Linked DNA regions of Ovis aries. The protein of the gene in region 2 purifies or fractionates together with the protein of the main gene of each other region. This does not show direct contact. Links are inferred from orthologs where the notes say so. Each region holds a gene or a part of one and is shown on either strand. Other genes may lie near its edges. The genes, in order: COL1A1 and P4HA2.

What was found.
Region 1: the proteins of P4HA2 (region 2) and COL1A1 purify together in Homo sapiens (co-immunoprecipitation; 3 studies listed by BioGRID and IntAct, counting the BioPlex papers as one, with this or other methods). This does not show direct contact. The link is inferred for Ovis aries from reciprocal best matches to the Homo sapiens genes P4HA2 and COL1A1.

What each region holds. Positions count from the first base shown.
Region 1 is NC_056064.1:36,197,426-36,201,230, reverse strand, and holds part of COL1A1 (collagen alpha-1(I) chain), read right to left. Parts: intron 3,717-3,805; coding exon 3,618-3,716; intron 3,491-3,617; coding exon 3,437-3,490; intron 3,271-3,436; coding exon 3,163-3,270; intron 3,085-3,162; coding exon 3,031-3,084; intron 2,748-3,030; coding exon 2,649-2,747; intron 2,450-2,648; coding exon 2,396-2,449; intron 2,310-2,395; coding exon 2,211-2,309; intron 1,606-2,210; coding exon 1,552-1,605; intron 1,362-1,551; coding exon 1,308-1,361; intron 1,192-1,307; coding exon 1,138-1,191; intron 1,040-1,137; coding exon 986-1,039; intron 552-985; coding exon 507-551; intron 416-506; coding exon 317-415; intron 38-316; coding exon 1-37. UniProt on the Homo sapiens protein: Type I collagen is a member of group I collagen (fibrillar forming collagen).
Region 2 is NC_056058.1:19,991,084-19,994,888, reverse strand, and holds part of P4HA2 (prolyl 4-hydroxylase subunit alpha-2), read right to left. Parts: intron 1,392-3,805; coding exon 1,152-1,391; intron 1-1,151. UniProt on the Homo sapiens protein: Catalyzes the post-translational formation of 4-hydroxyproline in -Xaa-Pro-Gly- sequences in collagens and other proteins.

The DNA.
Region 1 (3,805 bases), on a different chromosome or scaffold from region 2:
CCTGGCTACCAGGGGCTCCAGGGGCACCAGCATCACCCTATGTGACAACCGATAAGACTGGAGTGAGACTTGGGATCTCAGAACTAGGTCTAGGTCACAACTTTGAGCCTCGTCTTAATTCCTCCCAGGCCTGGTCCTGAGGCCAAAGACAGGCACTAGCTAAGAGAAAAGGCTCACAGCCCAGAACTTCAGGCTGCACATGGACCCTACCCTAGTCTTGTCCCTCCACCCCTCCCAAACATCTAGCTGGCTTTGGTCCCAGCCAGGCGGCCCCCACCACTAGAAGGGTGAGACCTGGTCCCCATGCTGCCCTTACCTTAGCACCATCGTTGCCAGGGGCACCATTGGCTCCACGGGGACCTGCAGGACCGGGCGGCCCTTGCACACCACGCTCGCCGGGGAAACCTCTCTCGCCCTGGAAGGGAAGGACAGGGTGTGTGATGGTGGCTCCAGAAAGAGGCCCAGGTGCAGGGCATCTCTGTGATGCAAGAAGAGGCTCTACTTACTCTTGCTCCAGAGGGGCCGGGGGCACCAAGGTCTCCAGGAACACCCTGAGGGGGAGCAAGGGAGACAGTGAGCAAAACCCACCTTGGCCTTCCGCACTAGAAAACATTCTTGCCCACCTGGGAGCTAGCCCTTAGAGTCTGTGACTAGAGACCAACCCCTTCTGAGCACTGAACTGGGATTATCCTTCCTCGGGATGTGTCACCTTTCCTGAACTTGAGGTTGAAGGAAAGCCAGAGTATTCCAGCAGCTCTAAAAAGAAGTCATCTAGACCCGCAGCCATGCAGCTCCCTCCCAATCCTAGCATGCAGGGGTGCAGCTCTGTGCTCCCCTCTGTGTGGCGTCCTTCACGATGGGAAGCCCTTCCTCAAGTCTAACCTTGCTCCCTCTAGCTGACGGCTGTGTGCTTAGCTAGGAGGGCTGGATTCTCCCTCTGTGTTGCCTGCACTCCCCGTCTCTTCAGCCAGCTGTTACACCTTACCTGTTCACCAGGTTTGCCTGCTTCACCAGGAGGACCAGCAGGGCCAGGGAGACCCTGTGGGTGGGAAATGGGGGAGGGAAGCATGGGCTTAGAATCTGGAAGAAGTGTTCCTCACACCCCTCTCCCAATACCCTGACAGCGTGAGACCTCACCTGGAATCCAGGGGAGCCAGCAGGGCCTTGTTCGCCTCTCTCACCAGCGGGGCCCTGCATGGAGGGAATGCTGTGCTCATGGAAGGCCCAGAGAAGGGGGCAGGGGACTGGCACCCCTCTCCTGCCCTACAGTGCCCCCCTTCCTAGGCCTCCCTGTCAGGGACACTCACAGCAGGTCCTGGGGGTCCCTGAGCTCCAGCTTCTCCGTCTTTGCCAGCAGGACCCTGGGGAAAGAGTTAAAAAGGGGTTAGAGTGGTGAGGTGGGTGGGCAGCTGAGGAAGACAGCACAGGTAAGGGGCTTGGAGCTGGGGGTCCTGATGCCCTAGGAATGGGCTGGAGTCTCATATCCCTTCTGCAGGATATAGGGATGGGACATGGGCAGGAAAGTGACAGGAACCAAAAGGAGATACTTACAACAGCGCCAGGGGGTCCAGGAACACCTCGCTCTCCAGCTTTTCCAGGCTCTCCCTGGGGAAAGAGAGGTAGGGTTGAGGGAGTTGAAGTGGGCAACTAGGCCTCCTGGGTCCCTCCTGTTTACTTTGAGTGGCATTTTTAAGGAGCTGTTTCATCTATCAGCTCTGGCCCCTGAGGAAGGCCTCTGTTGGCTTCGACTGCTCCATCTTTTGGCCTCTCCCTGAGCCCTGTCCTCCCAGACACATGCCCCTTAGGCTCCTCTCTCACCCACTTCCCTTTCTTCTCCCCATCATATGCCTGCAGACACCTGAGCTCCGAAGGGCTTTCATTCCTTTGAAATCTCCTTTTGAGCCTCAAAGAACTCACCAAGATCTGGGGATGACTATCATGAAAAAGGCTCATCCTATCCCCAAGTGTGTGTGGGGTGGGGAGCGAGCAACAATACTTATTTCCAGGGATAGAGCAATGGTAGTGAAGCCAAGGAGAGGTCTCTCATTTTATGGAGTAGGGAAACTGAGGCCCAGAGGGGGGCAGTAAGTGGCCCGAGGCCACATAGCAAGTCAGTGGCAGAGCTGGGCCCAGACCCTGGACTCTTCCCCCCACGCCTACCCTCGCCTCAAGTGTGTATGTCCATGTAACACAACTCCCTGAATACTTACAGCAGCACCTTTAGGTCCAGGGAAACCCATCACGCCAGCCTGACCACGGGCACCGGGAGGGCCTGGGGGTCCAGGGCGGCCATCTTGACCAGCGGGACCCTGAGGATGGAAGGGACACGAGCAGAGGTGAGGGCAGAGGGCGAGAGGTCAGGAGGCGGACAGGGGCCTGGAGGAGGGATACTTACAGGGGGGCCAGTTTTGCCATCAGGACCTGGGCTGCCAGGGCTTCCAGTCAGACCCTGAGGGGGAGGCAGACAGGTGTGAGTGGAGCGGAGGATACAGGTGATGGGAGAGGGGCGGTAGGAAGGTGTAGGCCAGGAGGACGACATTCCAGAAGGCGGATCTGTGGTCCTGCTCCAGAGCCAACACAGGATGGGCAGGGTCCTGGGCCACTAACAGACAACAATAAATTCGCTGGGCAGAGTGCTGGAGTCTCACCTTGGCACCGGGCAGGCCAGCTTCACCGGGGCGACCAGCTTCACCAGGAGACCCTTTGGGGCCAGCAGGGCCAGGAGCACCGCGTTCACCAGCAGGACCCTAGTTGGGAGAGTCACAGCAATAATTAGGGTTTCAAGTCTGGGCCACTTCATCATGGGCTGGCATCCACCTCTTCCTCCTGGGCCATGGGGCTGGGTGCTTTGAGGGGCACTGGTGGTGGTGAGGAGGTCAAGGTGAGCTGAGTGTGACGAGGTCAGCAGCCCCCGTGTGGGCGCTAATGGACTGGGCGGTGGGGCTGGGAGGGGGCCGATTACATCCGGGAGAGGAAGGTAATGTCCAGGGAGCAGCAGGGTCAGCCTCCCAGTCGTGATGAGAGGTTTACCTTGGGACCAGCAACACCGTCAGAGCCAGGGAAACCACGGCTTCCAGGTCCGCCCTGGGGGAGGAGAGGAGGTCAGTGAGCTCAGACACATGGGCACCAGGTCGGCACTGGGGTGAAGAAGGGGGCACTTACACGCTCGCCAGGGGGTCCAGGCAGGCCAGCAGGTCCAGGTTCACCTCGGGCTCCTCGCTTTCCTTCTTCCCCAGCGGGGCCAGGGGGGCCTTGAATACCAGTGGGACCCTGGAGAGGGCAGAGAGGAGGGGGCAGCTTACAGTGAGGGGCTGTCCTGGTGCCAGCTTCAGAGTTGTCTGGAGGCTGGGTCTCCAGCACCGGGGGTTCCGCTTCCTCCCTGGACCACCCCCCAGGGGCTTCTGGGGCAGACAGACGGAGCTGCGAGAGGACTTACGGGTTCTCCCTTGGCACCAGTGTCTCCTTTGCTGCCAGGAGCGCCGGGTTCACCCTGAGTAGGGGGAGAAGATGAGTGAAGAACGGGTACAGTGCTCAGCTGGCCTGGCCCATCATGCTTCCCAGACAAGGGCCTCAGATCAACATAGGAGGTGGGACAAAAGAGAGACAGTGGTACTTACGCTGTTACCCTTGGGACCAGGGGGGCCACTGGGGCCCTGGGGTCCAGAGGGGCCTCGGGCACCAGGGAAGCCAGGAGCACCAGCAATACCAGGAGCGCCCTGAGGGAGGCAGAACAAATTGAGCCCAGGAGTGGAGGGCACAGGGCAGGTGGAAAGTGGGTACCAGGGGCGGCTCTGAAACCTGCAGG
Region 2 (3,805 bases):
TGCACGCAGCATTCTGGCTTCCACAGCACCTAAGCGGGGTTTGCTGGTCATAGAGGAAAAGCCAACAGAGGTTCTCTCCACTCTGGTCAGAGATGAGAACGGAGCAACAAAGCGGGGGGTGGAAGGGATGCTGCGCCACTGATGCAGATCTCCTCTCAGACTTCCCTGGAAATCCTGAGGACACGGGTCCAGAGAAGCAGTCCAGAGTTCTGCCTCCTCCTCCCAACCTGGCTGCATGCTAGCTTCATCCATGCCCTAGAGTCCATCTGCTCCATTACTGGTGAGCGCATCACGCCCTGGCCACAGCGAGAAGGCAGGCTGAAACACCAGCAACAAGAACAGCCACATGACACTCCCACAGCTTTGTCCTATGGGCCTCACGACACGAAGGAGCAAGCCAGGCAGGAGTACTGAGCCACCCCTCAGAGGAGGAAACTGAAGCCCAAAGATGTGAGGAAATTAACGTGAGGTTATTCAGAGGGGGAATCCAGGTGACCCGACTCCCTGTCCAAGGCTCTTACTAACATGACAGAGTCTACACAGCTCTCTTCCCATATCCATCTAACAGACATCCACACTAGCTGGCCTCAGATGCAGGACCCATGAAAAGCAGCAGCAAAAGGAAGCCTTTGCTGGCCAGTGAAATCCCAAACTATGATATCCCAAATATTAATAAGAAGAGGAACAAATAGGTTCTTGAGACACAGTGCTTCTGATCTCCTTCAGTCTAACATCACAGGACACTTAAATGACCAGAGCCATGGCAAGTCCATCAGTTAGACCTCAGGCCTCTAATACCAGGTCAGGTAACTGTCACTGCAGCAACACTGAAATACAGCTTGCCTCTCGAGCTACTGTGGACGCAATAAAGGCTCCACCCTACAGAGCAGCAGATAGACTGCAACCCTGGATCCCCATTTATAAATGGAATAGAAATCGATATGCAGGCCTGAGTGGATCCATCAGTGACTGGGCAAGGGTTAAGGCCAGAACCGAGGTAGGTAAAGAGCAAGCTGGCAGCTAGCCTGGGCCTGAAGGCAGCAAAGGATTGGTCGCCGGCTAGGCAACTGGTCAGACTGGCTTGGTCCCTGACAGGAGCCAGCCCTGCCACCTCCCCATCTGCACCTGACCTTCCCCCAGAGGCTCCTTACCCAGGGAGAGCAGGCGGCGGGTGAGCTCCACAGCACGGTGCAGGTCACCCAGCTGGAAGACAGCGTAGCTCAGATAGTCCAGCACCTGGGCCTTGGTTGTGGTGGCCTCCTCCCCAGCATCGAGCTGCTTTAGCACCTGTTCCATCCACAACACTGTGTGGTAATAGTCGCCTTCATTGTAGGCCGAGCGGCCCATCCCAAAGCAGTCATCCACACTCAGCACGGCCTGGTACTTGGTTCCTGCAGCCGGAGAGGCATGTAGTCAGGCTCCAAAGGGCCTCTGGGTTAGGGAGAGAGATTTCCCCCATTGTGGGAGCCTGGGCCCCTGCGAGGTGGGGGCGTCACCCCAGCAGAGGCCCACTAGGATTTCAGACCACACACCTCCAAGGGCCATGAGTCCAGAAAGCACAGCCATGCTGGCCCTGTCTCTGGCTGGGGTGCACAGCCTGTCTCCTATCCTCAGACTCCCCTCCTTCCAAGTGGGAAGGGGCCTTTATTATGGAGGAGCCCAGGATACCCAAGAAGTAGTGCTCAGGAGAGTAAAAAGGTCCTGCGTGCCTCACAGGAGATGTCTGCAAGGTAGCTGACCATTTGAGACTGGAAGTTTAGAAAAAATAACTTGAATATAAAAAACAGAACTGAGGTGGCAGGTAAAGCCATGGATGAAGATAAATGCTTCCAGAAATAAGTGTCAGGAAAGAGAGACACAGTAGTTGAGGCCAGGGCCCCAGAGACCACCTGTACAGAAACAGTGGAGTGAATAACACTGAGAAGTACCTAAGAGGCAGAAGAAATGGAACAGGAGGGGCCCGGCAGATGCCAAGGGAGGGCAAGAAATAAGACTGCAATGCCAGCTTTGACCACTAGGCGGTGGGGCCCTTCAAAGGGAAAGTGTTCGTCACTCAGTCCTGTCCCACTCCTTGTAACTCCATGGACTGTAGCCGCCAGACTCCTCTGCCCACGGAAATCTCCAGGCAAGAATATTGGAGTGTGTAGCCATTCCCTTCTCCAGGGGGGTTTCCCAACCTAGGGACTGAACCCAGGTCTCTCACACTGCAGGCAGATTCTTTACCGTCTGAGCCACCAGGGTGGGGCCCTTGGTTAAGTCAATTCCGCAGGTCCTCTGACCATAGGTCATCTGCTGTTGGTTCACGCTGGAAGTGACCATGAAGAGAGTTTCAAGTCAAGAAGGAGATGTGATGTGTAAGCTATGGGGAGATGCAGGGTTTAACCTGTGACCCTCCTGGAAAGCAAAGGAACTTCCCTACAAAACCATTAATAGCAACCCAGGCATGGCTAACAGTGGAGAGTTGTCTCAGAGTGGGCTCTTTCTGCCTGATATCCAAGATGCCCAGAATGAAATCCCTGCTGCCATGGTTGGCTTCAGGGGCTGCTCACCAGGATGGCTCAGGAACAGACAATGTAGGACAGGATAGGAAAACGGGGAAAATAAACACCAGACAGAGTTAGCAGGAAGACCATGGATGGGAGAAGGGAGGCATCCTTGAGTCCTTGTTCACTCTCCATGAACCTCCAGATCTCTGGCTCTGTGGGTGCAGGAACTCAACACTGATGGAGGCAGCATAACACAGGTGAGCCGGTTGGACAGAGCAAGGCCTGTGTGGGCCTACCTATGGCACCCAACAGCTGTGTGACTACGGGCAAGTTACGTAGCCTCTCTGATTCTTGGTCTGTTACCTCTAAAAAGAGATAATGCCATCAATTTTAGAGGACTTGTGCCAAGAATTCAAGAAGACAATGTCACATGAAAATGTCTCCTATGAGTCCTTTGAGTGCAATAAACAGTAGCTATTACCATATATCTCACAGATACCAAGAATGTCAAGAATGGCTCCCAAACACTCAGTATCTTTCCCAGAAACCAGTGTGAAAGTCTGCTCTCTGGAGAGTGCTCTCGGGAGAATACCAGCTGAGCTGAATGCTGAAGGGCCATAAAGGTAAACCTGCAGAGTTTGTGGGATGAACAAAGAAGCCAAGCAGTGGTGAAGCTTAGTACAACGGGCAAGGAGGCCAGGGAGACGGTACCACGCAGGACCGCAAAGACCACGTGTTAAGAGGAATTTGGATTTAGCCCTAAAAGTAAAGCACTGTGAACAGGGTCCCCTGGAGAAGGTGCTTAGGGAGACACCAGGTAGGAACAGCATCCACCCCTCACTGCCCCTCCAGGATACACACGGGGCTGTTACTGAATGTGAAGGGTCAATGCCTGGCTCTGGCTCCTTCTTCCCACCAACCATTCTCATAACTATAGGGTGAACGGATCCTGCAGGTGCCTCAAGCCACCTTCTCTCTCTGGCCTCCTGGCCTTATCCAAAATCTGACTGAGTGAGGATTAAGGAGACATCCCCAATCTTCCTGTTGGCTCCCTGGGCTTCCCAGTGCCAAGGCTCTGACTAGCCAACAACACAGGTCCTCCCTCTCCTACACACCGTGATTCCCTCTGCTGCGCCTCCTACAGGGTCCCCACGGGTGAGGGAGCCTCCAAGATCTACCAGAGTCTAACTGAATCCCTGGGTTTATTGCCCTTTAATAACCAAACCCCTACACATCTTCTTATAAACATACTGAGGTAGCCAGTTGAATTGAAACAGGGCCTGTAAAAGAAATGAGAGAGAGAGGTGCCAAAAGAGAAA